Drosophila melanogaster: one gene and its partners. Changing the gene in region 4 together with the main gene of any one other region gives a genetic interaction. Each region holds a gene or a part of one and is shown on either strand. Other genes may lie near its edges.

The links.
Region 1: of amos (region 4) and ato, changing one suppresses a phenotype caused by changing the other (phenotypic suppression), as found in Drosophila melanogaster (2 studies listed by BioGRID).
Region 2: of amos (region 4) and Brd, changing one enhances a phenotype caused by changing the other (phenotypic enhancement), as found in Drosophila melanogaster (one study listed by BioGRID).
Region 3: of amos (region 4) and lz, changing one suppresses a phenotype caused by changing the other (phenotypic suppression), as found in Drosophila melanogaster (2 studies listed by BioGRID).

The regions. Positions count from the first base shown.
Region 1 is NT_033777.3:8,274,160-8,282,314, reverse strand, and holds ato (atonal), read right to left. Parts: upstream 4,264-8,155; 5' UTR 4,190-4,263; coding exon 3,251-4,189; 3' UTR 3,041-3,250; downstream 1-3,040. UniProt on the Drosophila melanogaster protein: Developmental protein involved in neurogenesis. Required for the formation of chordotonal organs and photoreceptors. Seems to bind to E boxes. Specifically required for the photoreceptor R8 selection.
Region 2 is NT_037436.4:14,968,346-14,975,798, reverse strand, and holds Brd (bearded), read right to left. Parts: upstream 3,133-7,453; 5' UTR 3,061-3,132; coding exon 2,815-3,060; 3' UTR 2,601-2,814; downstream 1-2,600. Other genes in the region: ocho, read right to left, coding at 46-495; Tom (twin of m4), read right to left, coding at 5,896-6,372.
Region 3 is NC_004354.4:9,280,075-9,289,236, reverse strand, and holds the start of lz (lozenge), read right to left. Parts: upstream 4,589-9,162; 5' UTR 4,501-4,588; intron 3,451-4,500; 5' UTR 3,317-3,450; coding exon 2,455-3,316; intron 906-2,454; coding exon 666-905; intron 1-665. Other genes in the region: c11.1, read left to right, coding at 6,288-6,444, 7,609-7,786, 7,850-9,162. UniProt on the Drosophila melanogaster protein: Involved in prepatterning photoreceptor precursors in the developing eye; in the larval eye disk it defines a subset of cells as an equipotential group that is competent to respond to the sevenless developmental signal and another subset that confer proper photoreceptor identity by positively regulating the homeo box gene Bar.
Region 4 is NT_033779.5:18,593,841-18,601,471, forward strand, and holds amos (absent MD neurons and olfactory sensilla), read right to left. Parts: upstream 3,082-7,631; 5' UTR 3,067-3,081; coding exon 2,470-3,066; 3' UTR 2,296-2,469; downstream 1-2,295. Other genes in the region: CG15160 (uncharacterized protein), read left to right, coding at 1-349, 1,467-1,534; CG10413 (uncharacterized protein), read right to left, coding at 6,770-7,211, 7,274-7,453, 7,517-7,631. UniProt on the Drosophila melanogaster protein: Transcription factor involved in early neurogenesis; sensillum basiconica formation and maybe sensillum trichodea development. Promotes multiple dendritic (MD) neuron formation. Required for olfactory sensilla; regulated by lozenge (lz).

The DNA of each region.
Region 1 (8,155 bases), on a different chromosome or scaffold from region 4:
GAGGACTCTGCCTCTTCCTATGCCAGGTAATCTCTCTCCTTTCCTCGCGGACCGCACACAATGCCCGATAATGGGCTGAGAAAGGATGTATTAAGAAAAGGGGGCGCGGCTGCCGTGATTTGGTGTCGCTAATTACAGACTTTGGCATTTTACGTTGTCCGTTTTATGACTTAATAATTGCATTCATTTGGACCGGACTTTGAGTTTGGCTTAAACCGATCGGATGCCGATGCCCACACACACAATACGAAATCCCACTAATTTCGCTGCACACGCGACTTGGGAGAAAGGTCCGGCATTAATCACCGAATCCTTGGGACCGTGGGCTGCGGACCTGGGTTCCTGCAATTTCGCCAGCGAAGGTTGCGCAACAATTAAAGGATCAGCGCAAAATGTTCACACAACAATGCCAAAACAAATCGGCGGAAACGGAAACTGCACTTGAGAAATAAACAAAAAAAGATACAAAGTAATGTTTGTGGTTAGATCTTTCGAAAATGAGGGAAATTGTGCCCAAAAAGGCATGAGAAATTCTATTGAGCGAGATAACAAAAAAACATTCATAGAAATAGCATATAAATTATTTCAAAACATACCAAAACCGCAATTAAAAAATGTGCATTGGGGTAATTGAATCTTACGGGGCACAATGGATTGTCAGAACTACCTGTTTCCTAAGTGTTTATTTCGCTTTATTTTCAGGTAGTTTTAATCTATAAAAACTTGCTCCACTGTAAAATTCTTTCAATTTGTTGAGCAAACTGCTTAAGTCCTTGAACTTCAGCTAAGACCAATATAGTCTGCACATAACGAGCCTTAAAACCTTACCACTTAACAAGATGCAAGTCGATCGGTACAATAACCCATTTAGATACTGCCCCATGGCGACACTAACAAGAAGTGACAAATTGATGGTGTTAAAGCTCATTAAGTTACTTAACGCAGATGTACATACATTTACAGATACAGATGCACTAACTAACCAAAGCGTCGGACACAAAAAATATAAGCAACCTCAAAAACCTCAAAATAAAGCTCGCCAATTATCGACATGACAAATTTCGGGGGCATTCGTTTCCCCCCGTTCGAACGGCCAGAAAAACCCACAAAATATGCAGCCCCACAACGGACATCGAATGCATACCCGTAATAATACGTGTTAATAATGCTCAGGCAAGCTGTCTATAAATTGACAAAGACATGCAAGTGGCTGCCGCTTCTGCCACTTCTGCCACTTCTGCCACTTCTGCCACTACTGCTCCTCCTGTTTTCCGGCGTGATGTTGCTGCTGTGTCGGCGGCACTGCCAAAAGCCAAAGGCCGAAAGCTGAAAGCCGAATGCCGAAACGCAGTGAGCCAGTAAGTCAGAATGCCAGAACTCGACTGGGGTCGAGTTGCCATTCATGAATTCTAACTAATTGTATTGGCAGGCAGTTGCATTTTGGAAGCTGGATCTGAATTCGAGGCTCCGAATCTCTGCTGTGCTGTGCAGCTGCATGCAGGTGGTAGCTGGAGTAGCTGCTCGGGAATAACGACCGATATTGGCAGGAAGGCCTCTCTTCCCGCATCACGACGGATCGCACCCTTTTGTTGTGCGTGGCTTTTGAGATGGGGGAACCGAACGGAGCCGAACAATTTGTGTAATTGACAAATTGACGGCAGCGCTTTGTGCGGAAGCGTTCAAAGCCGTAAATTGTCGCTAACAAGAGCGACACTCCAGGGATATCGGCAGGATATCGCCTTTATGCCTCGCATTCGCGCCTATACAAATATAATTGCCTCAGCCGCTGGAAAAGACGCCTGGGGAGACGCCCGCACCTCGCGATCACTAAATTAAGTCATTAACAATTTAACGAAGCCCTGTCGATGCCGCGCTGCCGCTTAACTAATTATGTGAATTTCCTTTTGATTATGTGCCCCGAAATCCGTGCAGCTTTTGCGGCGACGCCCGAAAATGATTTTGCAAAACAAACAGTAACAGCCCACGAAATCCGGTCGCTGCCACGCCCCCACCCTCGCTAGCCGCCACCGAGCGCTCCAATTCCCATGCGGGAGTCGATCGAATCGCCGGCACTCGGGCGTTGCTGTCGCTATCAACAAATTGGCTTCGAATCTTACGAATGATTGACTGACTGACTGAATGACTGACTGACTGGGCCGGGGATCTCTGCTCCGTTTTAAGCTGAATGATATGTTGCACTGCCAGAAATCGTCATAGGATTTATTTATTCAACAGATCCAAAAATATCATCCATCTAATATCACTAAATAATATATTTAATTATATTTTAAAGGGAATGAATTCTGTGTAGAACTAACTATAAAGGTTTGCTTTGATCCTATCTTGTACTATATACATTTTATTATATTACCTTAAATAATATTATTTATTACATTAACTTATTGAACAAAACTTCTTCAACACCTTCTTGTTTTGCTGAGTGCACAGTTTCGGCTTAAAGTCTTAAGCCGCTGAGTTTATCCGCCAACAACGATCGGGGATCGAACTTCGTATTAAACGATTTGTGAGTGGCGCTTGATTTTCGGGGCTCGACTGGGACTTCCACTGGGATATGAAGTTGCAGAGGTTCCAGGGACAGCGACGGACAAATGGACATACGGACAAGCGGACATACGGACATTGCATGCGACCTGCGACTGCTGAAAGCAGATCAGCCCAACACTTAACTTAATTTGGCAGCTACAGTCCGGCGCGCCGTGCCGTGTAATTATCGTCCGCTGCGTATTTGTTTTGGCCAACCCGATTAAGAGGGGCCCTAATTTTGTCGAACTGTCTACAAATTGATCGCGAAGCGCCAAATCGATCACCTTCCCCCATATAATAAAGTCCAATTCACTGTGTGAGAATTGATGCCCCGCCGATAAGTGTGGATATCGAGGATTGGGGAAACAGAATTGTTCAGAGATGAAAGGATTTGGATGGCTTGGAATTTTTGTATTTATCATTTTGCATCTAGGAATTGTTGCATAGCTACTAAAACTGTTAGAAAGTCCCCGTTAACAAAAAACGAACATATGTTTTAAATTATTAATGGTGCTTTTATTTTGTCTTCCTTAGTCTTAATCATTGTCTTCCATTTAGGCTAATTAACTAAACAATAAACAGCATAATACTTAAGCGGTAATTCACTACTGGGCTCCAGGCAATATATACAAAGTAGCTACAACATTTGGCAAGCTCCAACAATAACTGAGAATAGTACTTGGGACTGGGATCGGGATCCGGGAATTCAGCGCAGCAGATCCCCGAGAGCGGATATGTAGGTCTGGGCCATTTGGAGGGTCTCGTGTTTGGACAGCTGGCGATCGTTTCCCAGACAGGGAAGGTACTGGCGGAGACGATCGAAGGCCTGGTTGAGGTTCTGCATCCGACGACGCTCACGTGCATTGGCGGCCAGGCGACGCTTCCTCTTCACGACGGGTGTGATCTGCTTGCCACGCCTCTTCTTTCCAGAGCCTCCGGCAGCGGCATCTTGGTTCTCACCATCGGCCAAGTCAAAGGATCCATCATTGCCATCGAAGTCCTCACCGCCACTGAAGAGCATGAGGTCCTCGTCATCCTCGACGCTGTCATCGAACAAGGCGGAGTTGTCAAAGTCAAAGTTCTGGAACTCCTCCGTGTAGAGATTCACTGAGGCAGATGACTCCGCAGCTGCAGTCGGTGTGGAGGTGGCGGTGGTGCTTGGCTGGTTCTTCTTGGTATAGCTACGCTTCGGTTTCGGACCTGCTGAGGCTGGAATCGTTTTGCAAGTGCCCACGTTGGAGGAGCCCATGACCTCCACTGCCGGAGGAGAGGCCACTGGAATTGCAGGCGCTGTGGAAACAACAGACTGCTCCATAATCATTCCGTATTGTTGGTTCTGGGCCATGTTGTTGCAGCCTCCATTGTACATGGTATTGAGATCCACATACTCGGGACTCTCAGATCGGTGGCTAGCCGGCGAGGAGGAGATCCAGCCATCGGAACTGGCCTGCTCGAAGCTGATGAAGCCATTGGCCGACAAGTAGTTGCTGCTGCTGGCCAGGGTGTTGCCATTGAACTGGTAGTGGGTCACGCCGGGATTGTAGGCTGCCATGGGATTGAAGTACGGCTCGGCGGCGGCTGTCTTGAAGCCCTGCAAGTCCTCGGAGGTCTTGTAGTAGTAGCGATAGATCTCACTGGACGACATGTTGCTGCTGCTGTATGGTGGTGTTATGTTGCTGGATGAAACGATACGAACGCTGCGAGTGCTGGCGGGTTTCTGACTGGTCTCTCGTCCTTTCGGCCCTATTTATACTCACAAATCCACCACGACGGTCAGAAGGGCCTGAAAGGCAGGTAGGGGGGCAGGTAAACGAGTTGCCACAGAAGGCAGCACGTGCCGCCCGAGTGGCACGACCAATGGCAGTTGGTGGTGAGTTGCAGCGGTCTCAGAGAGCCCGGTTATACCTCAGTTCGTTGCGAGCTTAAAATGGCGCTAGAAAACCGACTATCTGGGCATCTAAAGCCGCTAACAAGATGATTATAGGATGGCCGGCACAACCGGAACAGGAATATGGGCGGAAATGTAAACAGAACTTGGACAAACAATCGATTTGAATCCCTAAACGGGATTAAAGTCGACCGCAAAGCGAAGCGAAATTTGCAAAAATCCCTTGGCGATTTGTCAGCACCAAATGGCAGAGCGGGTCTTATGAGTTTATCTAATCTGCATCGGTTGCAAGTGGGTTCGATCTACCTGATCACGGCTAGGGAAATCCTTACAAATCCACCGCCGCCGGGTCATTCGACATGCTTACCCAAAGTCGGGGGCGGAATATCGCAATGAAAAATCTTGTTTATTACAACTTGGCAAATTTTCCAATTGATACGCTTGTTGCCGGTACCATGAAGAAGGTAGATGATAGCGCCGGCCCTTCAAGGACACGCTTGACCGAGTGCCAGGACTGACCTTCACCTTAGCCCTCGTCGTGCCTAATAAGCGTGGCAGGCAGTAACTAAGAGCTGGGTTAACATTTTAGCGCCTTGCAATTAATACGGCCGTGTGTTCGATCGTGAGCAGGGAATTTAGTTGTAGATCCCAGGATGACACAGCAAAACGAAGCGTCCACGGTGGTCCTTAGATCCCTTCGCTACGCCCCTTAATCCTTAATGATTCGCTGGAAATCATAATGCAACGAATTCTACATCAACCACTTGCGGGGGAGTGTTCGGGCATCTTTGAAGTTCCGCGGCCACCCAGTCGCACAACTAGTAGCACGCCCCAAAGGATCTGATCTTTTTGCCGGGCAATAAAAACGCTGTCAATTAGATAAAAATGTCACACAACAAACCGCACCAAGAGCGGCACCACCAATTTATTGGACGCACACAGGCATGTTTGACCTTTTGTCCACCCCTGAGAGACCTCGAATGTCCTGAACGTCCCTCGTGAATGTCCTTCCATGCAATTTACGAGCCACTTGCCGCAACAGACAGTAGTTACACCTGCAATATGTACCTGTGCAGATCGTATCCCTCGGATTGCATCTCCGCTGTAAAGTTTTTCGCTTATCGGCATTAGCCGATGTCAAGGCATCCGCTGCATATCGATTGGGAAATTTACATTTTCATTGCCGCATCGCAATATGCACGTGCTGCCAGTCGAGGGGGCAAAAAGGGTCATTCCAAGTCAAGTCGAGTTCTTTTTTCGCCAATGGTCGGCATCGGGCGCCTTGCGTGCCTGTCAGTTATCGAGTGGCTGATCCCTCACATCGGACCCACATACCTTATGAGTACCAGTACCTCCAATACCTCAGCTCCAGCTCATTGGCATCAATACGCTGGTAACGGGCCACTTCTTTCATGTCAATATGCATAAATGCAACTTGGCCATCGATGGGAATGCAACTGATGTGGAGCAGCTTCCAGAAAGCGCATGACAAAGCCAATTGAATGGGTATGAATCTGCTTGGGTGAAACATGAAACACTCTTGTAGTCATATCCAAATCATATTCTTATATTATCCTAGAAAAACCAACCTGTATATTCTTGAGTGTAATATAATATGGTGAATGTTATAATTGTATATTGGGTTTTTTACTAAACTCTCAAATCATGTATTAGTTACTTAGGCCATTAAACTATTGACGCAGTAACTAAATTAATTTAGTTATTTTCTACATTTTGTTAAGTAACCAAATTGCTGACTAGCCGGCCTAATTCAGTATACTCTTTCCAGGACTCTCTTCGGCATGAGGAACGTGTAGGCGCAAGAGATGCCAACAAGAGGAAAGTAGGCTCACGTCAACGACTCCCATTAGCAAGTCGCTCTGGGCCGTGAAAGTGTTGTCCAGATCCATATTTATATATATCCAGACCGAATCCCAGTCCACCAGCTCCTGCTCGACTTAAACGTCTTCGGCCCAGTTATTTTTTTTAGCTGAAATTGAAAAATTTGTATGTTACTTATTTTATTAGCATTTAACACTCTGTCCCATTTTGCAGACGAGAGCGAAAAGCGAAAGGAGCAGGAGTCTGGACACGGACATGGACATGGACATGCAATCGGCATGGCATGCCATCTCCGCAACTGGGGTAGTTCCCATTCCCCCAGTTCCGTGCACGTGGGTGGCCTGGCCCCAAATCGAATCCTGGCCTCTTGTGTGGCATTTCGGCAATTGTCAAATTGAAAATTCATTAAAGGCAAATTAAATATGCAAATGCAGAAGGACCAAGTCGAGGAGGAGGAAAGAGCTCCCCTTGTTATGTGAGACCGTTGTTTGACTTGGCTCTGCAAATATTGACCACCGATTGGGGCGGTGGAAAAATGGAAAATATCATATGTACATATGCTCCTCGACGGGGATAAAAAGTCAAGTGGAGTCAAACATTGGACGGGATTCAGTTGGAACTGGCTATCATCGCTGGGAGCTGATCAAAATTGCTTAAACAAATATCGCATAAATTGCACATTGTACGAAGTGGCCGGAAAATTGTGACGGCCATGGGTTAATTCCCATGAAAATTAAAACTAGATTATACACACGTCCACAGAGTAGTCGGAGTCGAGTCCTTGCAGCGCCCACTGTGTCATTGTTTGGGCACGCCCTCACCTCCTGTTGTGCCGGCGCTTTGTCATAGATTGCCTACTGATGGTTATCATCCGGCTGAGGGATGGCACATCAGCTCCGTGCTCCTTATGAGCGTATCTGCCCAGATTGGATCGGACCATGTCAGAGCGATTTTTGTCGCCGACTTTGATGCGGCAATTCGAGCGCGGTGGTGTTGTTTTGCCAACATTACTGCCGATCAGTATCTGAGGTGATCTTCGCAACTGACTGGCGCCAGCAGTGATCCTTTTATCCTTCATCGAAACAAGACAAATTCGCTACACATATTTTATAGTAGATAGTTGATATGCAGGTCGATTAACCATGTCCATGTAGGTGCCATGTACTGCATGCTATCTTGAAAATTTAACTTATATCGAAAACAAATTTCTTAGAACCAAATCGATTCAACAAATGAAGCACTGACAAATTGAACTCTAATTAGAAACATACGAGTTTGTGTTTTGAAAGCAGATTTCTCAGATCTGAAAAACAAGATTCGATTTCAAAGCGCATAGTAAGGGAGCCCAAGTTTTCGTTGGCATATTAATGTGGCTATCAAACATTAGTTTCATGGTGCATATTGGATCCTTGTTTGTTGGCTCTACCCTCGTTTCCGAATCGGAAGTGCATCATAACCGATCGACAAATTGTGATTGGTATTGTTATAAGCGAGGATCCTGGTCCCACGAAACCCTATCCCAGATCCCTGCCAAGTGATCAATTCAAATTTGAAACACTGCTCGCTGGAACACAGAAAACAGATGAAAACTACGCAATCACTTGAGAAAAATCAAAAAGGCTCTGAAGGACCTCGGCTGCTCTCCTCGCTCCTCTGGACTCCTTGGCTCCATGGTAGTAACCATAACAGGTGGCACGGAAGCCGCACAAAATAAAAATGATTAAAGCAATAAAAAAAGAAACGAAAACGAAACTCACACACAAAGGACGAAGAAAAGGTCGCGGCAGAAATAACAACAGTTTTTAATAAGATTTTCAAAAAAATTGTTGAAGCAACATTGGCGATGCCTAGGAGAGATGCTGTCCCCTCCTGTTGCTCAAC
Region 2 (7,453 bases), on a different chromosome or scaffold from region 4:
TTTTTCGTTCAAGGTTGAAGTTGCAGCTCCAGGCGATTACTTCGTTCAAGCTTGAGCCCAACGGTCCAGGAAGTTCCATTCGATGGCATAGGGTTCGCAGGCTTTGGGTTGCACCGATGTCCAGAAGAAGGTGCCGGCATTGGTGCGGGCAAAATGCACTGGTACATAGTAATCCTCCTGGTCGATGGTGTGCAGCTCCCCGGATCCGTTCTCATTGTAAACGATGACGGCATCTTCCTTGGCGCACTGGCGGATTTCCTCGATGAGGCGATGCTCCAGATGCTCGTTGGCCATGTTGTCCATATCGTTGCTGAGCCACTCGAACTCGGCCTCCTTCTCCTCGGAGGCGATGTAGGAGCTCCTCTTGGGCTGCTCCTTCTTCATGTTGAAGAATTGACCGAGCAGCGGCTTCAGCAGATTCTTCAGGCGACGCGAAGGCGAGACTTTCGATTTGTACATGGTGTTGAGGGTCTTCTGCTTGCTGATGGCCGACATTAGATGAATTTCGTTCAGATATTTTCTGGTGGTGAGTGCGTAGAATGCGTGCTGGGATGTTCTCGCTTCGACGTTCGGATGCTGTGTGATGCTGTCACTAAGATTAGAGGCGCTATTTATACTTTCTTGGGAGACAGGAGCGATGCTACAGCATCTCAGCCAATCACGTCGCTCGGAAGGCAGGCAGGTGCAAGGATCCGAAATTTCACACGTTAGTCAGTGGCAGCAGGTAGGTCCTGCAGGACCTGAGATTCGAGATCTTGTGCGAAGCGTGGGAATCTCGGGCCCATTCCTCCTTTCAAGACAATTATCCCCGGGTTCCAAACGAATCCTTGGCGTGGGAACAGCACATTGCCGGCCTTCTCTCGGAGACCCAGTTATTGTTTTGGATTTCGACTGGGTTTGTTTTGCCAGTTCATCAGAAATATGTCGATCCTGTAACCGAAAACCAGCTACAATCTAAGCCAAATTTACACAAATCGTGCACTTTCATTCTTATGTTTTTCGGTTCGGTTGATTAGGGATGGCATCGCAGAAAGTCCTTTGAGGCACGATCTTGAGAATTCTCACGTTCAGTTGGGGAGCTCCTCGTATTTTGGTTACTTGGGCAGCGGGCTTCCCAAATATTTTCGTGTCACGACAGAGGGTTTCATTTTTGAACATCTCTAGTCCTCACTTTTTTGGTTCAGACCCCTCAATTAATTGTAGAATGGGGGTTCATTTTTTGTGAATGTATCGTATTATAACTCATTTATTGTGGGATGTGGTGATTGCTCGCCTTACATTTATATTTACAGCCTGTGAGAATTTGTAACCCGTGTTTAAATGGTTGAAAAGATCCTAAAGAAATATAAAACTGCAGATGAGGTCTGTTTAGATGTTTGGGCCCTATTGATATCAAATTGTGTTTGTAGCAATCACTAATATAAATTTACTTGAGGTTTCATTTTTTCTATTACTTAGGGCCACAAAAGAGCTGAAATCCTCAGAGACAAATATTTTGTTTTGAAGAAGTATGATGTCTATGGTTTGTTAAGTAAGTGGTCTTAGAATCTTTAAATAAATAATAATAATGAATATTAATTAATTAGTCATATATATTTGCATATATGATACATATCATAAAATATTGTTGTTTTTAATAAAGCGACGACAACACATTTTTTGCGACTATCTTATAAACGAATTTATTGTAATGTTTAGTAATGGTTTAAATATTGTTATTTGATTTACCCCAACTCAAACAAAATCCTACACATAACAGAGTTTGAATCACAAAAATAAAAAATAAGAGTTTAATAAAATTAAATTCAACGCCCAAATCTATAAATTATTTTAATATTTATGTAATTATCTTGATTTCAAACACAAATATTTATTTAGATTTATTAATATCAATTAAACTTTTGTTTCTTTAATAAAATTATCATCATCATATCATCATATCATTATCTTTGTATTATATCATTGCCCATTTAAAACTCCAACGGGTCCTGTAACCTGTAACATTATCCCGAACTGTACTTGGTTGTATGCTTTCAATAAGGAATCTGCATCGACTTTATGTAAAACTATTTACATAACGCACACACGATCTTATGTACGAGAATGCCCCCTTTGAAATGCCATAAAGATCGAACCGAACCGTGCGGCCTTTTCGCATTTATTATTGAGATAGGATTGGCTTTGTTTCTGCTCGTAGCGTAGGGCCCCTGCCTTTTTTGTTTATCATCCGAGGGACTGGGACCGGGACCCTCTACCTGTTCCGATGCAATTCGAGATTTATTTTGTCCAGGGCCCAACCCTAAGAAGGAGCGCTGAAAACGAAAATCAGAAATCGCCTGGAGGTAACAGGTTTCCCCGGCTCACTCGGCTTGATTTTTCGAGTTTTTCGAATCCACAACAGGTTTCCAACAAAAGGGAACAGGTAAAGGTTTTGTTTTTCGAGTTAAGGTTCTTAGGGTCTCGCTGTTCCGTGAATGTGGAAGGGTCAGGGGTACGGGATAAGAACGGTTTTTGGCTTACAGATTCTTGGAAAAACCTTCGAGGAAATTACAATGACAAAGGGAAAGTTCGAATAAGAAATCAGAAATGCAAACAAGTTTCGGTATTAATATTATGTATTTATTCATACTCTCTTAAACATAGATGGAAGACAATGATTAAAGCTGGATATTTGTGCATTTCATTTTAAAATCTCCACTTGCACAGTGTGGAGAGTTAAAGCTGTTGCGGATGATGTTTAGAGACCGAATCCGTTGGAGTCTTTAAAGCTGATTGGAAAGTGGTATTTTTTTTCGGATTTCCCATTTTCCTCGATTACAGTTGGACGAGCTCGGCTTCCAATTGCTCGTTCTGGGAGTTCTGCAGCTCCTCCTCGGAAGTGGGCAGTGGGAGCTCCTTCGGCATGGAGTGGTTCTTCAGTTGCTGGTGGCCCGATGCCTTGAAGATTTTGCAGGCCACCTTGAAGATCTTCTTCATGGCCTTGGCGGGTGTGTAGGTCTTCTTCTGGCAGACAGGAGTGGTGGTGTAGATGGTGGTGTTCATCAGAGTTTCGTAGGCCATTTTTGCTAGTTAGTAGTTTGCTTGCTTGGTCGACTGATCTTGGCTGTTCAACGTTGCGATTGAATGTGATGTCCTATTCGGAATTGCGCACCGCTTAAATACCCGATCCTTGCGAAAGCAACCCCTAAGTCAACCAATCAGGACGAGTCCTAGCGCGCAGGTGTTTCTCGGTCTCTCAAAATATGAGAGTCACGCATTCCTCAACTCTCTGCAGGTAGTTCGGGATCGTTTCGGGTCCCTTTTTTGAGCGACCCTTGCACGTGTGCGAAGTAAGGCCACAATTTTCGTAGGCCCTAAATAAATCTCTCCCTCGATTTCGTTTTCGTCGTGGGAGAGTATAATTTCAGTCGAATGCCAATAGGAGGACGATGCCGGCAAGCATAACAAATAGCCAAAAAATGAAAGAAATGAAAAAATAAACGATCATCCCTTTTCCATCGGGTTCGGGTTAGTAATTTGAGTGGTTTGTTTGCGGAGGACTCGGCTCGAATTTATGCCTTGATTAGTTTTTGGCTATTAATTGTTAATAGGCTGACAGTGGAGGATAAAAGTGACAGACCCTCGTTAAACACATGTTGTCGGCAAACGAGAAATATTTACACGTCAACATTTCATTTTTGATCAGTACAGGTAGACTGTGGTCCTTTCGAGTACAGTGAACATTCGCTCGAAGGTGTGCAGGGATTTTCAAGATTCCACACTCACTGCAGCGTAGTTGCTCTGGCAGGCTTCACTGTCCTCACACTTGTTCTTCGGGGTTGTTTTGGTCCTTGGCAAAATTTGAATTTGGAGCGTAATGAAACTCGAATTTCTTCGTTTATTGCATGAAAGGTTTCTTTATCTTTCCCTTAAATCTGCTATAGGGATTTAAGATATTTTTGGATTTCTTGTTGCATGGAACCACCACTTGGAAATATGGTTTTCTGTGACAGGTTTCACTGTCCCCACACTTGTGTGTTGGTTCGGGCTCTCCAAGAAAATTAAAATTTCGTCTCTTGTTGAAATTCGAATTTCGTCTCCTATTGAAATACTTGGCACTTGTAATTTGGGATTCATTCGTATTCCAATCCAGTTGCATTAGATGGAGTGGGATAGGATCCTGGCCCATCCACTTGGGGGGTGACCAACCAGGAACCTAGCGTGCTTGTGGCTCGCTTAACTATTCCACAGGCATAATTCCCCATAAGCACTTGAAGATTTTATTTTGGTGGCGTTTCAAGTTTAGTTGTTAGTGTCAGGTTTCCTGAAATTCAAGCGCCAGAATGAAGCCTGCATAATTAGCTTGTGGCTATCGTGAAACAAAATATTGTGGATCGAGTGTTGTAATATGACTTATGTTGCATTTTTCTTATAAAAAAAAATTATTTACACTGAAAATACATGTATTCTTTAATACATAATTCTTTATCTTTATTTTATTTCAGTTCGGTGGCTTGTTAGCCGTATATACATACATATTATATATGATATTATTGTGATAAATATTTATCATTGACTCATTTAAAGAATTTTGAGAATTCACGCGTTTGTAGCACATTCAAAATTTTTAAAAATTATTTTATTCATTTTAGACTGGGTTATTTGATATGGTTTTCTTATAATTAGTTCTTGAAGAATTCTTTGTAGTATTTTAATATTTGTAGATACAAACAGTAATTTTTTTTAACCATAATATTTTTTTTTTATTTTACTTTGCTTTTATTTATTGAATCTTCTTGTATAAGAACTAACAATAAGTTTAAAAATCTTAACTATAACAAGTATTTTTTGAACAGTTGTATTATTTTTCCAACTGTTCTATGTTTAAACGGCCCTAATAATTTATTCGCTGGGTTGGTAGGTCCTTTCGCCGGAGACGGGAACGGCTGCTGAGCTGGATTAGACCTCGCGCTAGGTGGTTGGGGTGCGTGTGAAGCGTGTGAACCATAATATGATATGAAAAGATATGATATTTACTATACCAATATTTTCGAAATATAAATAGAATAAATAAATAAATACATATATACTACAAAGGTATATATTAGGTATATTTGAAACAAAAATCATATTTTAACGATAACAGATGCAGAAATTGTATGAAAGACAAAAAATAATATTTGGTGAATATTATATTAGCCTGTGGTCAGGCTAAATATAAATGTAAATAAAATTCTTTATTGTTCTTACGGAAGTATTTCCAACTGCCTACCAGCAGCATTTTTGGATTCAAATGGTCTCCAAGCAGGAATGAATGCAGTCACTAATTGGAATGTGTTCACCAGCATAGCGAGTCCAATTTAAAATCCATTCTTCAAATCAGAATTGTACAGAGTAGCCGAATTTAACTATACTTACAATGGTCATTCAATTTGGGATTTTTCTTTTCCAACCTTATTCATATTATTTCATATCAGTTTTCAGAATAAAGAGACATTAGAATTTCCTTTTTTCGATTTATTTATTTCTTATATGATATTAGTGTTTATAGCTAAAGTTTTACATGGAAGACAATGATTCTTAGCCTAATTCTTATACGAAGACCCTAACAAACAAACATGGAAGACAATGATTCGGCTAAGACTAACTTAAGGCTAATAAGACACGATAAATCACAATGAGTTAACGATAGTAACGCTTGATTGTGATAATTGAATATCAATTAGAGTTGTGTTTCCCTTGGGACGCGAGCCCAAAGAATCCAATCTATGCCTAATATCACCCTGAGATTACGAACATGCGAAGCTGAACCCGCATCCATCCGACGACCAATGGACGGAGACACTTGCACTTAAAGCTGCCAATTGGAGTTTTTCCCGGTGCATCGAGAAGTGGAACTGTGCATCCTGGCGATGTTTAGGCCTGAACCCAACGGTCGAACTGCTGGCGCAACTGCTGTTCGTGGTGCTGGCGAGCTCCCTCGGCTGAGGTCCAGAAGAAGGTGCCGCTGGTGGTGCGGGCGAAGTGGACCGGGATGAAGGTCTGCTCCGGATGGACGGGCACGATGCTCTGTTGCTGACCCTGCTGCACGATCATGGCCACGTTGGTGGGGCACTGGCGGAGATCGGTGTACAGTCGCTGCTCCAGCTCCTCGTTGGCCATGTTATCGCAACTGGCCGCCGGATCTTTGCGCATGTCCTCCAGCGAGGCGTTGACTGCATTTTGGTTCTGGATCTCGGCCAGAGTCTTCCGGAGTAGCTGCTTCTTCTTCACCAGTCGCAGAAGGGGTTTGACCAGTTTCCTCAGACTCCGCATGGCCATCGTGTGCTGATCTGATTTCGGCTCCATCACCTTGCTGCTCTCAAACTTGTATTCCCGTGTGATGAACGACATTGTGTTGAGGATTGTTGAGATTTATAATAAAACTTGGGATCTTAGTTGGTTGCACTCGGTTGAGAGTTGGTAGTATTCTGGTTTTCCTGCTGCACGACCGACTCCTTATATACGATTTGCTCTCTTTGGTTTCTCTCGGCGGGGGAGAATTCTCGCACAGAGCGGCGGTTCTCTCGATCGATGGACCCAGCCAATGGGAAGGCAGACTGCCTGCAGGTGGTTGCACAAACAGTGAGAGCGGGAGACAAAAGAGAGCCAAGAGAAAGCGGTCTCGGAATCAGGAGCATGTCCTTACCCTTGAGAAAGCAGGGTATGATGAATTTTTGAGTCTGTGCATAAAAAATAGATTTTACGAAAAATAAGGTTAATATGTTTTTATTGTGTGTATATCTTTTAAGTGTATTTTTTCTAAAAAAAATTATTTATAATAGTAATATTGAAAGGGGCCATATAAGGTTGAATTTAATTGAATTGAATTCATTGAATTTATAATAACTATAGTAATAAGATCATAAACTTGATGAAAAATATCAATATTTAAGGACTCTATTAAAATTAAACTTAAAAGACTAGCAAGAATAAAATGTATCCTAAAATATTTGGTATACAACTAAATTAAAAACTATTTAAAATTAAATAATTAAGATCGGCACAGCCTTACAAAAAAAGTTTTCCTTAACAGCACACTGCTAAATTAAGGTATGTAGGAAGTACATCGGTAAAATTACAATAAATACAAAGAGATCGTTGTATATTTAACAATTATTTAGTATTTTACTAATGGTATTTATTTTTTGGAACATAGCATACCATACTAAGTCATTTACTTTAAAATTTCATATGTTTCCCACGTGATTCAAATGCTGGGTATTACCCACTCGAGTTGCTCATTCACTGCAGGTTTTTAACGGATTTTTTGACAGTCGCATAGATCTCGGTCGGTTCTCGATCTTTCGCCCCCTCTGAGAGTACCATGCCTCACAACCTCTCTTTACCTGCTCGACTCTGTCGCAAGAAAAGTAGAAGTCCCTAAATCCCAAACGTAAAATTCCAGGAGAGTACCGAGCGGACAAGTCGAAAC
Region 3 (9,162 bases), on a different chromosome or scaffold from region 4:
TCACTCAATCAATGCACTTCCGATGCATTCATTACCTATTTTCGGGTGCACAAAAAGAAAATGCATTTGCCAACCAAATATTACATGCAAGTTACATAGCAAGTTATGAATTCATACTTCAAGTTACAAATTTTGTTAGAGTTTTATCATCATATACTTGATGATGAAGTGTGCGTTACAGAAGTAACTCTCAATAAAAAAAAGTCTTTAGAAATTAAAGCCATATTAAGTTAATTATGCATACATAATTGAACGTATTACGCATCATTTTCATTCAGTGTAATTTGAAGAAAGTTTGAAAGGATAAACCTACAGCTTCCGCTCGTTTGAAGTTGTGGGAAGCATTCTTTGGGCTCGCAATAATCGGCATTTGGCAAAGGAAGTGCTGATTGCAGTGCTCGAGGAAGTCTTTAATTTTCAGAAATGTTATATAGTCAACCAAAACACAAAGGTGATATAAAGTGCTATAAAGTATATAAGTTATATATAGATCATTTTCATCAGTTATTAGAAATTACTATATATTATCCTGATCTGATCCTGATTCACAGAAGATAGTTAGTTTACCAACTCCTTTCTTTTTCACACCGCCTACCGTTTGCACTTCTTCTCTCCATTTTAGCTTATAATTCCCAAGTGACCGTTCGGACAGCACTGCAACTCACCTCTTCCGCTGCGTCCCACGAAACGCAGATCATTGAACTTGGCCACGTCGTTCTTCATCTGGGTGGTGAAGTTGCGCAGCTCCGCGCAGCAATTCTCATCGTTTCCCGCCCGGATGGTGACATAGGTGCCATCGCCCACTTCCGCCAGAGCGACGACCTTGAAGGCCATCGGCAGCGTCTTGTTGGAGCGCCAATGGGCGGGCAGGGCGGAGCACAGGAAGTACGGATTGCTCGTGCGCACTGGAAAATGAAGAAAGTGGGTAAAAAAAAAAAAAAATCAGGATAAATCAGTTTGGTTTTAATTAGCCAAGGGTTCGCTGATTAAAATCACATTTTCACGGCCATCAAAAATATTCAATTATTTATAGTTTCGTGTCGGTCCATAAATATCAATCATCGTGGATACTGAACACTGGATGCAGGATGCTGGATACTGGGTCCTTCGACCATCGACTCGCCATCCGGCGGTGCATAATTAATTAATGAGCGGGGAGATGTCAAACGGAACGGAACGAACGGACCGGACCGGAAGGGGTTATCGGTTATCAGATGACGTTTGACTGTTGACCTGGTGTCGAAAGTAGAGCAAAGTGTGGAGAGCTGGGCTGGCTGAATAAATGATTTATTTACTCGCGACTGGCGCGCAAAATAGACCGAAATATGGACATCTAATTGCTGATAATCATTAAATTTAATTTGTCACACCGCTGTAGGTTTGGAAATCATGTTTTACATAGGTGTCAGGAATCAAATGTGCGCTGCCCTGAAAACCAAACTGTGTAATAATAAATTGTAATAGACTAGGCACATCCAGATCCTGATTGAATCCCATAGGTACGATACTAACTCAAATGGAATGGAATATAAATATTACTTTAAGACAAGAGTGTAAAGTCCTGATAGTTGCAATTCGATATGAAGGCTATCCATTGAGCACAAGTTATGAAAGGACTCAGAAGTGAAAAAAAAAATCATATAGGATAACCAGTTTGCGGATTCCCCAGCTAATTTCAAGACTGACGGTGCGATGAGCTGAGATTTCATTAGCAGCTTTCGCTCTGGGTCATTGATATCATTGATAAATCGGGAGGAAAGTTCAACGGGCAGCAAGGAATAAGAAAAAAAAAAAAAAGGTGGCATTAACAAAATAAAAAAGGGGAACGACTCGTGCGTTGATATCAATAACAATTATTGATATCAATTTACGCATATTCCGACGGCGATGCCAGTCCCATCTTCACTGGCATCACCATCATCATCGCCATCGGTATCATCATCACGATCATCATACCCATGGAATCCGATAAGGCTGCGTCCGATGATCGTGATTGCCACGATGTGGAAGCCCCAGAAGTGCATTGTGCAAGGATGTGGCAAGAATGTGCGCTCCACCTTTCGGGGATCGGATTATCGAACAGACCTGCAAAGCATCCACCAGATCCCCTCGACACGAGCTAAAGATGCTGATACCTTGTGAATGGAAGAGCTGTCTCCGCAGAGGCTTGCCTTGATATATATATCTATCTATCAATCTTATATTCATAAGATATATTATATCAAGAACCATAGATCATATTGGGAATCTGGTAGCAAAGAATTTGCTATTTACAGTTAGTAAGCTAAATCCCTCTGTTCAATCAATTTTGTTCACGGGAAATTACAAATCCAGTTAGACTATATCTTCATATTCACTTTGATTTTGAAGGACATTAAGGTAGCTATTAATCCTTAACCCTTTTGCAGACTGTGTTACTACTAGGTTATTGGTAATATCCCACCAACAACTCACCCAATTCGCCGGGATGTTCCTGTTGTCGCTTCTGTACCAATCGCTCCATCCACAATAGATCCTGGTGAACGGCGTTGTTATTGTTGCTATTGCTATTGCTGGCACCGTTGTTGTTGTTGTTGCTGGCGGTACTACTGCTGTGACCGCCGGTGTGTCCACTATGCCCACTATGGGCTGTACCATTGCTGGCGCCACCTGTGGGCGAGCTGCTGCCAACACTGGCACTACTCGAAACGGCCAAAACCTCAGCGGCTGTGGCGCCCGTGGATGCAGTGGCGCCCTGGGTGGCACCACCTACGCCGCCGCCAGTGGCCGTCGCCACCGCTGTGATGCCCTTGAAGTCGCCGGTGGAGCTGCTCCAGCCGTTGCCCGTCGGCGATGTGGATGACGATGTGACCATGGCCGGCGGATGTGGTCCTGCCGGCGGATACGGATACGGTGGGTGGTGGTGGTGGTGGTGGTGGGGCGCGTGCGGATGCGGTGGGTGGTAGGGGTGGGCGTGGTGGTACGGTGAGTAGTGGTGGTGCAGGTGGTGATGGTGGTGGCTGCCGCCGCTGCCGTTGATGCTGCGACCCAGGCGGCCGGGACCGGCAACGCTGACGGGCGCCACAGTGGTGCTGTGGTCCGCCACCAATTCCTGGCCCAGTCCCAATCCCAAGCCCAGTCCCAATCCGAGTCCGAGTCCGTATCCGGAAGCCAATGGCAAGCCCAGCTGCAATTGCGATTCCGTTTGCGATGCCAAGTCCAATTGCGACTCCCCAGCAGCGCCCGTATGCCCAGATGGAGATGCTGATGGAGTTGGAGTTGGATTTGGAGATGGAGATGGAGGCGTCTTCTCTGCCGCCAGGAGATGCAAATGCATTCGTCGACGGCGGTGACCTTTGATCCGCTCGCTTGCCCCTTTTTTTCTTGCAGTGTGTGCGGGTCGCAGGTCAAGCGCTTATCACACTTCGCTCCGGCGGTGTCTTTTGTTCACTCATCAATAAACTCTAATCTCTAAACGAATTCACAGAAAAAAAAAAGCGTACTTAACAATTGTTTGCAATTGCACTTACGATATGAGAAAGATTCGTGTTTAATTGAAAACTTAAAATGCCGATCGATTCATTAAAAACAATCCATGACAACATCTCAAATTTGTTTCATATTAAGCAATTTAATTAAAGTACATATAGAAACAGTTCACTGGCGTACGTTTAAATAAAGAAATAATTGCAAAAAACAATATATATAAATTTAAAAAATGATTAAAAATATGTTTGCCTTTCTGAATACATATTAAATAACTGCGAGTACTACGACGATCGACATTTTGCTAGTTCGCACTTTGATAAATTAGTCACAGGAATTAGCGGTGCATTTGTTGCTATTGTTGTTTTTTCTTTCTCTTTTTTGAGCATGCTTTTGCCAGATGATTTCTGAACTTAATTAAATTTGATTTCGTTTGATTTGGATATTTTTATTGTTTGCACTTCACTCGGCTAATTAGTAATACTCTATGTTTGACTCCCGATTCGCAGACGGGCCTCCTTTTCTCGAGTTTAACTTTGATGATATTTCTGGGAATCGGTGTAAAAACAATATAGTACAATATAAACATTTAATGTTCACAACTGATCTCCCAAGTAATCATAAATGGTTGTAAAAGAGTCAGTTATTTGTTTATTCAAACAATGTATAAGAAGCTTTTACAATTACTATTGTATATTATTTGTTTGAGAACAAGCAACAAAGTAAACAAATTATTTCACAGTCGCAAAATAAAGCCTTAAAAAATATGAACTTAAGTTTTTGTCATAAAAACATTGCCTTAATTCGTTTGTGTCACCATTTATCACTTTTATTTTGTTACTAACTGCACTTAATAGCACTTTGGTTTGTGTTTAGTTTAATGTAAAACTGTTTAACAATATGTTTGAATGCAAGTTTCTGGCGAAACTGTGTCGCTCTTTTGTTTAAATTTAGTTGGTGACGAAATTCGAGTTAATAACTAAAAGTTAGCCGATTTTGGCGCGCTTTTTGTTTACTACTTTGTTTAACACTTACACACACACTTAGTTTACTTTCTTCGGTATTTCTTTAAGTGACTTAAGCACAAGTTACAAAAAAAAAGGGTTAACACGTAAGCGAGGTGTTATTTTCTTGTGTTTCTTTCAGTCGATTAAAAACTTCGCTAACAATGGAAACAATAATGCTCGCGCGTCGTACTCCAAAACATAACTGAAACTGACTTTTAACTTTTGACTGCGCCGCTTGAATTTCGCGAGACGATTGAGCTCGGCTCTGAGTCGAATCCAATCGTTTTTCCACTTGCCTCGCGAGCCAATTGGAACGAGAACGACTCTCTTTGGCCGGGGCGTTTTGGGTCTCTTAAGTTGCTCGCTCTCTCTCTCTCTCTCTCTCTCTTGCTCTTCTGTAAATGCATGGCCTAGTATGTGCATTGTGACAAGTCACCATTCCACGCAGTGCTGTTGCATCAAATTTTTAATAAATTTCGCTAAAAATAATAGAATTTAAATGCTTAATCAAATAAACAGTTGCTCTCCCTCTCGCTCGCTCCTGCGTTTCCCTTGCACTTGGCACCGCCCCCGGATTCTGATTGGTCAGGTGGACATGGCATTTGAGGCGCGCCATTGGTGGACACATTTTCATCCACCACCGGCTGCAACCACTTCCAATTGGAATCGCATTTAAGCGCGCTCTCTTTAATCAGCTGAGAGCGTGACGACTTAAGAGCGGCGCTCTTGTTCAGCCGGGAAATTTCGAAAATATTTAGGAGCTGGATATGATTAGATTTTCATGAGAAAATAAATAAGTTGTGTTTTTTTTTTTATTATTTTATTTAAAATTTAACATACATGTATTTAAAACGCACTTATGGAAAATTGTATTCATATAGATACATTTTGGATATTAGAGATGAAAATCAGAGAATCTACTTTAAAACTGATACTTAACATGCTTATCAAATCTGCTATTATCGCAAAAAGTGTTAATTAAAAACTGTGTGTTGTTGCTAGCGCAAAGAAAACAAGGATTCCAAATGACATGTGTTCTTTTTAGCGAAGGAAAGGCGTGATAAGAGACTATCATTGGGCCATATTTTGTGGTTCAGCCTTGGTTTGTGGTCGAAATACTGATATCGAATTAAAATAACAACGCAGAGTTCTTATGATTTTAAAAAGTGTTTATTTTAAATTTACCTCCGACTTATCACATCGAAGGGAAATAGTTCTTATCGCTGGGAATATAATAGCGTGAGAAGAACGTCAGCTTATCTGCGAGGGCAGAAATTGCGAGAAAATCAAATGTCTATGCTATTTAATTTCAGAAGTGCTATCAAGTGATTAAAATTAAGCATTTCAATTGCTCTCAAATACTTTCAAAACTACCTCAAAAGCGTTTTTTCCTTTAATATTGTATTAGTATGCTGTACTGCCTGTGTAGCTTAAAATTTAAAATTTACTTAATTGCTAATTCCGTATAATAAAACGAGACTGTATGCATAACTATTATTTTATACACAGTACATTTGAATTTCATTTTTATGGTCATCTATGGTTTGCGCCACCACTGAACAGTGAGGGCACACACCATGTTCGGAAGCCCAACTAGTCCATGGTGTTGATAAAAAACGTACTAAAATTTCCACAGCCGTTTTTCCCCTATGTGAGTGCAGCCACCCGTTTTAAACACAAACAATTTCGCAACGCAGTGAATCTCTTGTTTTTCCGAGTTTTTCCGCGATCGCGAAGTGCGCGTTAAAGTTAATCGCTGTCTGAAATCCCGTTAAGCTGGAGAAGTGGAAGAGAACGCGCAATTCCACCAAGAAGATGGACGGCCGAGGGGTTGGCGGCGGTGGTAGTGGTGCTGCCACAGGGGGAGGATCCGCCAACAACAAATCAGCTGCTGGAAATAGCGCCGCCACTGGAAATGCCGATGCATCTACCGCCACAGCGGCGCCCAATGATAAGCCAACGATTCTGGAAGGTAAGCAAACGAAAATGCAAATGAAAATGAAAACAAAGGGAACACTGCCTAATCCCATAGATAAAGATAAAGATAAAGATGGACCCATGGAATCTTTTATTAGAAAGCGCACACACACACAAGCACAAGTGCTGAGAGCGATTTAGCGTGAAATGGGCGTTTTGCCCGTCCACCCCACCCACTCCAATTGGGATTTGTGATTAGGCGAAGCGCAGTCTTTTGTCCTGTTCTAAAAATAGAACTACGCATTAGGCACAACGCACACATGAGCGCCCAAAAGTAACGGGGAATCCTTTTAGCGAAAGGAGAGCAGCTAAATAACTCTATTTTCGTATCTATGTACGTGTGTATTATGGGGACCTGTTGAGTGTGTGAAGCCCTAAAAAATCATCTAGAACACGTTTATGAGCAAGACAAATCAATACAACAACATTTCACAATTACACCCACAAATTGCACTCAATTCGATTTGATTAATCATCTGCATGCGTAAGTGTGTGTTTTTTTTTGTTTTACAGCTAATTGTTGGAATAAGAACAAAAATAACATTGCAATGCGAAAAGTCCTCTAGAGTATCGCTTGTCCAGTCCAATTGGACTTTTGTATCTCTGGGATGACGTGTATTTTTGACCATCCCAATCAGCTGATTCCAGCATTTCGTTTGGTTTTTGCCATTTTCTAGCCTTTTTCATTTTATTGATAGATGCTTATATGATGTGAAGCTCTTTAATTTATGCGAATGCGTCAGACAATTTGAATTCTTATCAGAATATAAGTACTGAAAGTGCCCACAGTTGTGTTCAATGAAATAGGGGTATGCATTTTTCAATGTTGTAAAATGGCTCATATAATTTAATTCGAAATCAACCTATCATCCATTTAAATCCGTGAATCAATGTGGTTTTTGCCACTTCTGCTATCTTTGCAGTTTGTGCACCTTATGTAAATACGGCTCTATGTAGTGTTAACTTGACTTTGATCTAGTTACTCGTGTTACTGAGTGTAGTCCATTGTTCTGCTATTTGCTAGCTCTAGCTGAAATTAGTCATTTGTTTTAAACGATATCTTAGCTTTGACTTAACACAAGCCAACTAAATTTTGGATTATATTCCATATGATCTGATTTAAGAAATCAAATTTAAAACATTTGTTGCCCTTTTGCAGGCGTTCTCCACAACATCTTCGATGGGCTGATGGACAAGGAGGAGCAGGTGCGGATTGCCATGCAGCAGGCGATCGTGAAGATCTTGGAGACCCATCCGGAACGGGCTGCGGAGATCCTCAGCGAACATCGATCGCAGCAGCCGAAGATGACCGATCAAACAGTGGCCATGTTGTTGGAGTAGGTTTCCCTTTGACATCAGCAATTAAAAGCTGTTCTAATCCCTACCTTTCTATATTTCAGCTGCATTCGTCGCGTGGTGGGAGCGGAAACTCCTCTGCCGCCGGCTGCAAATCAGAAACTTATTGATCTTGCGCTGCAGGAGCTCACCAAGAATCCCGAGCATTTGCCACTCATACAGAATCCCGCCCAGCGCATCCTGGTAGCCATCGGACGGAGCAGCCCAGAGAGTTGTGAGCAGGTAATGGAGGCGCTCCAGGAGAAGGGAACAAGTACAGAAGGTGTGGCTCACTTTATGCTGATGCAGTGCCTCGGTCTGCTGGCCACTGAGAATCCGGCAGGGGTTGTGCCCCACATAAAGGCCATATTGAGCCGTAGTCAGCCGCATCTAGTCGGGATACGCCAGGATCACATCAAGCAGGCACATGCCTATGCCATCGGTAGATTCAGTGAGGCTCTACTGGAGGAGAGCGGCAAAAAGGAGGAGGAGAACTGCTCCACGGAGATCAGTGTGGCCTACGATGTGCTCTTCAATCAATGGCTGCACTCCCGGGAGCCAAAGGTTTGCGTGGAGATACTGCAGGCCCTGTCCAGCATGTATCCACTGCTGCCCAAAGACCGGATTCAGGATCAGGCCGCCCGATTGGTTCCCCAGATCCTGGCGCTCTATCGACGCAGCGTGGACAGGAATGCCGTGACGCAGTTCCTCTGCTCCGTGTTGAAAACGAATCTGGCACTAAATGCCACAGTCTTGGATGGCATAATTGACGTGTTGGTCACCCATTTGTTCGACCTGGTCTGCGTTTATCCGGACTATGAGAAACCGCAGACGGTGAAGGGTCACTACGAGGTGCTGCGTTGCTTCCACCTTCTGGCCGGTCATCAACCCTACTCCACGCGCATTATGGACACCCTGCTGATCCACCTGCGGAACAATAGCGAACGCGAGAGGATGAAGTCCCTGCTGATACTCACGCACCTACTCAACTCCTGTGCAGGGAATATAGAAAACCGGATTCCAGCCACCATTGAGTGCCTAAAGCAACTGATCCTCAGCGAAAGAGGGATCAAAATGAAGCTAACGCTGCTAAAAACCATTGTGGCTCTCGCCCAAAAGTCCCACATCCGGGACAAGGAGTTTGTGTGGTTCGTGGTGCGGCATAGTTGCCGATTCTCAAAGCCAAGTCAGGAGCACGGCAGCCAGGAGGAGCACGCCAATTTGGTGCTGAGCTGTGAGAACACCCTGTACATGCTGGCCTCTACGGTGGGCACCTTGGATGAGCTGCTCAAGAGGGAGCTGCTGAACTACTTGATCCTACTGGACTACACGGATATTTGCGGGAATCTCGCCAAGTGCCTGGCTAGTTTGTTTGCCA
Region 4 (7,631 bases):
CTTCAACAACATCACCAACATCAGCAGCATCAACAGCAGCAGCCCTGGAACCAAATGAATCGCATGCAAATGGGAGGAGGTGGAGCACCGCCACCTCCGCGACCACCATATGGACAGCCTTTCCCGCCCTTTCAGCGCTTCCCCGGTCCACCGATGAACGGTCCCGATGGAATGCAGCGCGGGCGTGGACGAGGCCGGGGATGGAATGGACCCGGACCAGGTCCTTTTAGACCGCCTTACCAACGGATGCCCGGACCGGGATTTGATGGACCCGGACCAGGGCCGCGACCATTTTTTCCTCGGGGTGGCGGACCTGGTGGTCCCATGCGAGGCCGCGGGCGTATGCGTGGTAAAGCATGGATGATGTAATTACGTATTTTATAGATCTACAAAAAGAGAGAACCTAGTTTTAGATTTCACTTATCTCACTTTGATTTAATTTAACAAAAAAGTGTATTGCATAGAACAGATAACTCATTAACCCCACACACTTCTCTTGGTTTCCCTTTGGGCGGTGGGCAGATGACGTTGGCAGAAGATATTGTACATTGCTGTGTATAATATTAACTAGCCATGGTTGTTATTGATGTAAATTCATGAGATTTTAAAAAATATATAACATGAAAAACAACAAGCCATCAGCAATTGAAGTGAAAGTTAAATAAAATTATTCACGAAATCCGTTGAGCTATTTTATTATGTAAATTATTAAATGATGACTAAATATGATAACGCAAATTGTTTTCAATCAGCCAACGTCAGCAGCCTTCATCAAGGGGAATCTAGGACAACACGTGCAAAGACTTTACACTTACACCCTCGACTTAACTTATGTTTGTGTGTTGACATAGATTAAGCATATAGTGTATGATTAGTTAATGCCTTCGCCTTTAGTTCCTAGTGCTAAACATAGACACTAGTAATTGTAAATAGTTATAACGAAAAGTAGTCCAAAAATTAATTGTTAACGTAATTCAAAAGTTCTATACTCTTTACTTATGGTCAATGATATTAACTTTTTAAATATATATCGATTTGAATTTCATTTTAACAACTTTATAATGAAAATCGAAATATAATGGTAATAAAAAACACTTTTCAGCAATCGTTCAGATCGTTGTAATGGCATTTTTAGAACTATGTTTTCCGATCTTCGTTATTTTTAAATTTAGTATATATCGATTGAATAAATATTTTTGGATTACCAACGATCCAGTTTAAGCCATCTCAAGTTTTGCTAATTTTATGAAAACGGGCTATAATATTTCTATTGGTGGCATTCACATCCATCGATCGTTGAAATCAAAGTATCACTAAAAATGTTACAATGATCTGACTTATTTCAAGAAAAATATATAGTTCTCGACAATTACATTAACATCCTGCCCATTTGAAAACCATTTATTGACCACCTAGTTAGTTTACTATATACTATCTTACTTATTTCGTTGTGCATTCTATTCCAGACTTATTGAAGAGCAATTTCTCAGATTTCTGTGGACTCAAGCTATACACCATAGTTATAGTAAGCTAAGTTAACAATCTGTATTTAGTTTTATAAATACAAACATCAATGTGATATTTGCAATTGAAAACTGTTGTGTACGATACGTCTTTTGTCTTTCTGGATCCTCGACTTCATCCGTTTCAGATAGATACTCGCTCGGTCCACCCACAGTTCCCATAGCACTTACAAATGACTATGTTTAAATCAATTTTCGTCTAATCTTCGAAGGATCTAAGGTAGCGACTGTGTTTATCCTCAGTGTGTTTACCTGTTGACGTTTGCGGCATTTAATCACTTCTGTTTTGGAGTTCCATCACTTTGAGTCGGAAGCGGAACTCATTAATTCTCGGTTTGTTACTGATGTTATGACCTTTCGTTTTGGTTCGTGGGCGTGGCGCACTGCCTAGCTTGCCATGCCGCTCTCATCTTTCAAGGATAACAAGGATACCCTTTTTCGGGCTGAGATGAAAGCGTGGCGAATAAAAACAAATGTGGAGGCATCAGTTGGATTGATAAATGGAGTTTTTACATATATTTATGTAAATTAATAAGTCTGATAAGTTATTTACATTTCAGTACCTATAAACTTCCTATCTTTTTTTTAAATATTTATTGGATTTTTCCCTTTTTCTCTCTAAAAATATCTGCTCTAAATTCTGTATATGTACCAGCAAAAAATGCAAAGATACAATTCAAACAAAATATAAATTTCCAAGTTCGCACAACATTATTTTCATTCCAACTCCACCATTTCATACGATATGAATTTAAAACAATATAATTGATTTGTATTTTCATTTTTATTATAAAACTATTGCTTGAATTGTGTACAACTATGATAATAAACGTAAAACTAACAGCCTTTATAAGATTTCCACTAGGATATGAAGGTGTTGCTGCAACACAGCCCGCAAAAGGAACTTCCATTTGAGGAAGAAAGGATAAAGGATCGCCCACACTGGCTAGTAGTCTCTGGACAGCAACGTGACCAGATCCCCGATGTATGCTTGCGCCATTTGCAGAGTTTCGTATTTGGAGAGTCGCCGATCGTGGCCGAGTGATGGAACCACATCTCTCAACTTGTCGAAGGCATCGTTCAGGCTGTTCATCCGCCTCCGTTCCCGAGCATTGGCGGCCAGTCGCCGTTTTTTGAGGACTTCGCCACCGAATCCCGCGGACGATGAACTGCTCGAAGAGGCGGAGGATGTAGATGATGACATGGAAGTGGACAGCTTGTCGTATGGCTTGCTCCTCTGCTGCTTGTTCCAGTACCTTGGACTTCTGCCCTGATTCTTGCCCAAGGGATTCGCTTGAAGGTGGTGCTGCTGCTGCTCCTGGGCATTCAGCATGTGCTCCAATTCCAGGACAGACGGCGTATCGTAATACATCTCCAAGGAGCAACTGTTGGCGCCATCCGACTGGCTGTCGCTGGTGCTGAACTCCTGCTGGTACATGAGCTGCTCCAACTGCTGGAAGGTGTCGTTGCTCAGGAACTCGGGAATCGCTGGGGCTTCGTCGGGGAAGTAGAACTGCTCCATTAGCTCGTTGTTGGTCAACATGTTTACGTTTGCAGGCTCAAGGGACAACTGAAGTGGCTGCTTGAGGATGGGTCTTTATATAGCTGCCTGCCGAGGATTCAGCTCTCACGTGATTGGTTCACTACATATGTCCTGTTACCTGATTCGCTGCCTCAAGCTGATCCGATCCGCTCAGGTACCCGATTGCCAACCTCTTGAGGATCAGCAGCACAGCCCGTGCCCTAAATTGGCTTGCGGTCAAGACGTTTAATTGTCTCTGGCTGCAACTCTCTCCCTCTTTCTCCCAGGTATTTACTGTATCAGCTACAGGTCGACTCCTTTTGTTTGACCTGTCATTTGGCTACCGTCTGTAATCATACCTCTTTTGTTACTTGCCCTGGAATTGACTTTTTATATTCAAACAAAATTTAGCCAAGGTCAAAATGCGAACGCACAAAAGACTCTTGTCATATGGGAATATTTTCCACAATGTGTGCCTCCATCGAAGATCGCCATGGATCATCTTGGTTGCATGTCTGTGGTCTAGTGAGTGGAGTGCTCGACTGGTTGGATGCAAACCCCATTTTTCGGACAGAACAAAGAGCAACAATTGTGCTTGTGCGGTTTGTGACTTTCGATTTTAGGCGGTTGTACTTACTTTATTGGGTCAAATTTAAGTGGGTGTATTAATAGTGGCTTTCTCCTGCTTTCAATGGCCAAATTACAGGACGTCGAGAAGTTCGAAATTCAAAAAAGCATGAAGAAATCAAAGCAAGTATCACATTATTATTATTTATTATTATTTTCATATTAAGGGATTTGAAATGTGCTATATTAACGCCTTTACTGAAGAGTTACTTTTCCGATAATAAAACTACACTACTTTAACATGCTGAAACCATTCGATGGGTCCTTCGAAACTCTGGTGCAATATGTTGCACCCTCACATTATATACTTTCATTCGTATGCTCTGGTTTCCACAGTCATCTTGGGATCAAGCCCACTTTCAAGTGACCGCATCGAAAGGCTAATTAACTCCACAGACTCGCAGCATTAGAGGGAAAATCAATTCGAGGAGTTCGCTGAATTTCTAAGGAAACTGGGCAAAACAATTGGAAAACACTGGCCGAGAAGCGCCGAGCATGGCTAAAGAGTACAAATGATGCCACTGCAAGATGGCCCAGTTACTTCGCCCAAATTGTCAAGGAACAAAGTCCCGAGCCGACAAAGGATCCTGACGTTTGATCTTGACGATGATGATGATAGCTGATGGATCGATCGATCGCTCGATCGGTTCACTTTGTTAAGAGTGCCACGCGACCGCAGCTTAGTCGAAATCCTGGCCCAGATTAGGCATTATGCTGCAATATTTTCGGGAGAAAGGTTCGCGGATAACCTAAAGATCTGCAACGCCTTCGAAAAGAGGTTCTGGAATTTCCAATTAGCATTTTTCTGCGCTACCTGGGACCTCGATCCTGTCAAAATAGCAACAATAGGTAGTCGGTTGGTGGGCGGTTCTGGTTGAAAGTGGGAACCTCTCTCCGCACTCCATCCATATCCATGCCCGTTTGTTTCTTTTCTTCTGACCAACAATAGGTCACCTGATGATAATCTCGGATACGTCTGGCAGTTGCGTGTTTTTGGGTTTTCCCTGCCAGATTAATCGTTTTCGCTTTGCGGATTAGTTGTTGGCGCTAAATTGCGAAAATGAGATTAGAAGTCAGAGTCCCGGAGTCACCAGGAATTCCATGGGAATCTCTTCTCGCCCGACACTTGTTGATTCCACTCTTTGTATTGCAATGCCTGACAATGGATCTTTGTTTTTTGGTCCCATTGTTGGTCTGAAATGGATCAGACCTAACTTCATTGTCCTGAGCATAATTACCATGTAATAATCTGGAATTATGAATTATTATATACAAAGATTTGTTTGTTTCCAAGTAAATTCGTTGTGGTCACAGATGTGCAAAAATATCCAGACAGTATGTCTAGCAAGAACTTGAAATGGATGTTCCTAGCGAAAGCGGAGAATTGGAATATAATTTATAATTGCATACTTTAAATGTTTTTGCTGATCATTATTTTATTTAAATGTACGCCCTTTTATTTTTTTCCAGGTCAAAGAATAATTTCCTTCTCTTTAAAGAGTGGTTACAAAAGTAAAGTTATAAATATTTAAATGTTTTGCTTAGATCTCAGTTCCACAAAACTCATGCCATAACTTACGGCACACTTCAAGGTCCAACAAGGATACATGTTTAACCAGGCCGGCTAGTCCTTGCTATCAACAAAATGTCTGTTGGGCTGCCAAGGATAGCGCCCCGAAAAGTGTCAGGCAATTGCGACTGTTTATTGGAATTTATTGACACTTGAGAGGTGATCGGGATAAAAACAGTTACAGAAACGGACAGTGATCCTCGAAAGGACACGGGCAGGTAATCGGAGCCAATCCCGAGTGCGACGCCGACCTTCAATGATGGGTATCATAAATTGTCATCACATAAATAGTGGAACAACAGGACCAACCGTATCCCCGGTGACATTTATGACTCTATTGACCGTCTGCCGCTGCTCCTGATTTCCTAGATGCTCCTGCTGGGCAATCAGTGTCCTTTTACACGTGACCCGCTCCCCTATCTTAATAAGCAGTTAATGGTAGCGGTAAGCGATTCACAAACAAAGCTAAAGCCAGATAAGAGCCGCCCATTAGAAAAGGGGGAAGTGTTAATGGATGCTTCGATAAGGGAACAATAAAACAATAAACAGAATATCGCTTTATATAGTGGCGAAAAGTCCAATTTGCCCTTTGATAGCGAAACCAAATAACTGAAAATCTATATATAGACTATAAGATTTTGTATAACACTCAGTAAAAAGCCAAAATCATTTACATAAATACATATCGCTAAGTCTTTATTTAAAATATTGGAAAGAACCGATTACAATGAATGCTGTGATCAATTATTATATTATTAGCTAGGTCACAGTTCCATAAAGTTTACACACACAAAACACTTGTCTACGACAATCGATCAATGTCCGTCCGAGCTGTGAAGGTCTTCCAAAAATGGATTACAAACTAAGTGCAATATGAAATCATCAATTTTACAACCACAATGGAACGCGGTTATCTAATACTTTTTGTCCTGTGGTCTGTTTAATCGTGAATTAGTAATAGTAGATATTCATAATCAATCACAAAGAGGTTAATATCGGTGTGAGTTCCGTTGGGGATGAGTTTTGAATATGATATTATTTATCAATTGCTGGATGGTCCACGTGTGTTCGATTAAATTGTTTGCAATAGTACTCTGATATGATTAAAAATTTTGATTCGGAATTTACGACACTGTTTTGTGGGTCTGTGCGAATAAATATTAAATTAGCTACAACATGAAATTAACAAACTAAAGGCATACTACTTTTATAGGGTGAGGCGATGCAGTTGGTATAATATTATAAAACAAAGACACAAAAGGTTTGTCTAAAAAGTTTGTCATTTTTAAGTAGTTGCAATAATATAATCGAGCCATATGTTTGCCCTTTCGGCATCGGCAACATGTAGATCTTATGTTTTTGTGATTGCAACTTAATCGGCTCACCCTAATGTATAATATTACTCGATAAAGCTACGAGCACACAAAAACGCACACAATGTTGGAAATACACCCTCACAATTGGTTAAATCCGGTTGCACTCCGGATTTTATCACTCATGGAAACGCGAATATCTCCAATTCGAAGTCTAGAGCGTTGTGGAGGTCACCGTGCTGACACCATGGACGAGAATGGTGGGCGGCAAATCGGCGGTCAGTTCGGTTAGCAGTTCCATATAGCTGGCGCTGCGTTGCGCGAAATCCGGCGCCGAGAGCTTTGGCGGAGCGGCCAGATAGATGAACGATAATGCCGTCTGATCCGAGCGTTCGCGTATGATTTGATTGGCACGCTGCATGTAGAGAAGGGAGCGATTCAGGGTCTCCTCGCCCACCTCGTCATCATCCTCCAGCACCACATTGTCCGCCTGAGCGGTGAACTGCTTGAGGGTGCGTGCATGTCGGCTGAAGTCGGTGTCCCGACTCCACTCCTGGATCTCCACAATGTCGGCTGTGATGCGCAGCTCCTTAAGAGACTGCTCCAGCTTCATTTTCGAGAAAATCTCCATTTGCGGGGTCTGGGTGTCGAAAGTGCTGAGTAAAATAGACGATAAATATATTAAATGTTTATAAAATTTTGTATTCATTTCACATACCCCACTGTCCGCTCGTCGTTGGCCTCGCACAGGAAAATCCTCACTCTCAGATGCTTCCATTTGGCCAGCATAATCACCGCCAATTGCATCATGAACAAAGACACCATATCGAAGGGATCTCCAGATGTTGGATTGAATATATTGATGGGCCACACATCAATGTACTTCACATGTTTGCTCCTGCATTCAATAATGTTTTTTTCAAAAGTTTGCTCAAGAATTAAAAGTAGATTTTCAACTCACATGGAAATAAAGTTTTTGTCCAATCTTTGGAAATTTCTGCACAAGCACAGATTCTTCTTCATCCTAAGGGTGTCGCACAGGATCTGAACGTACTCCTGAATTTGGAATTGCTTCG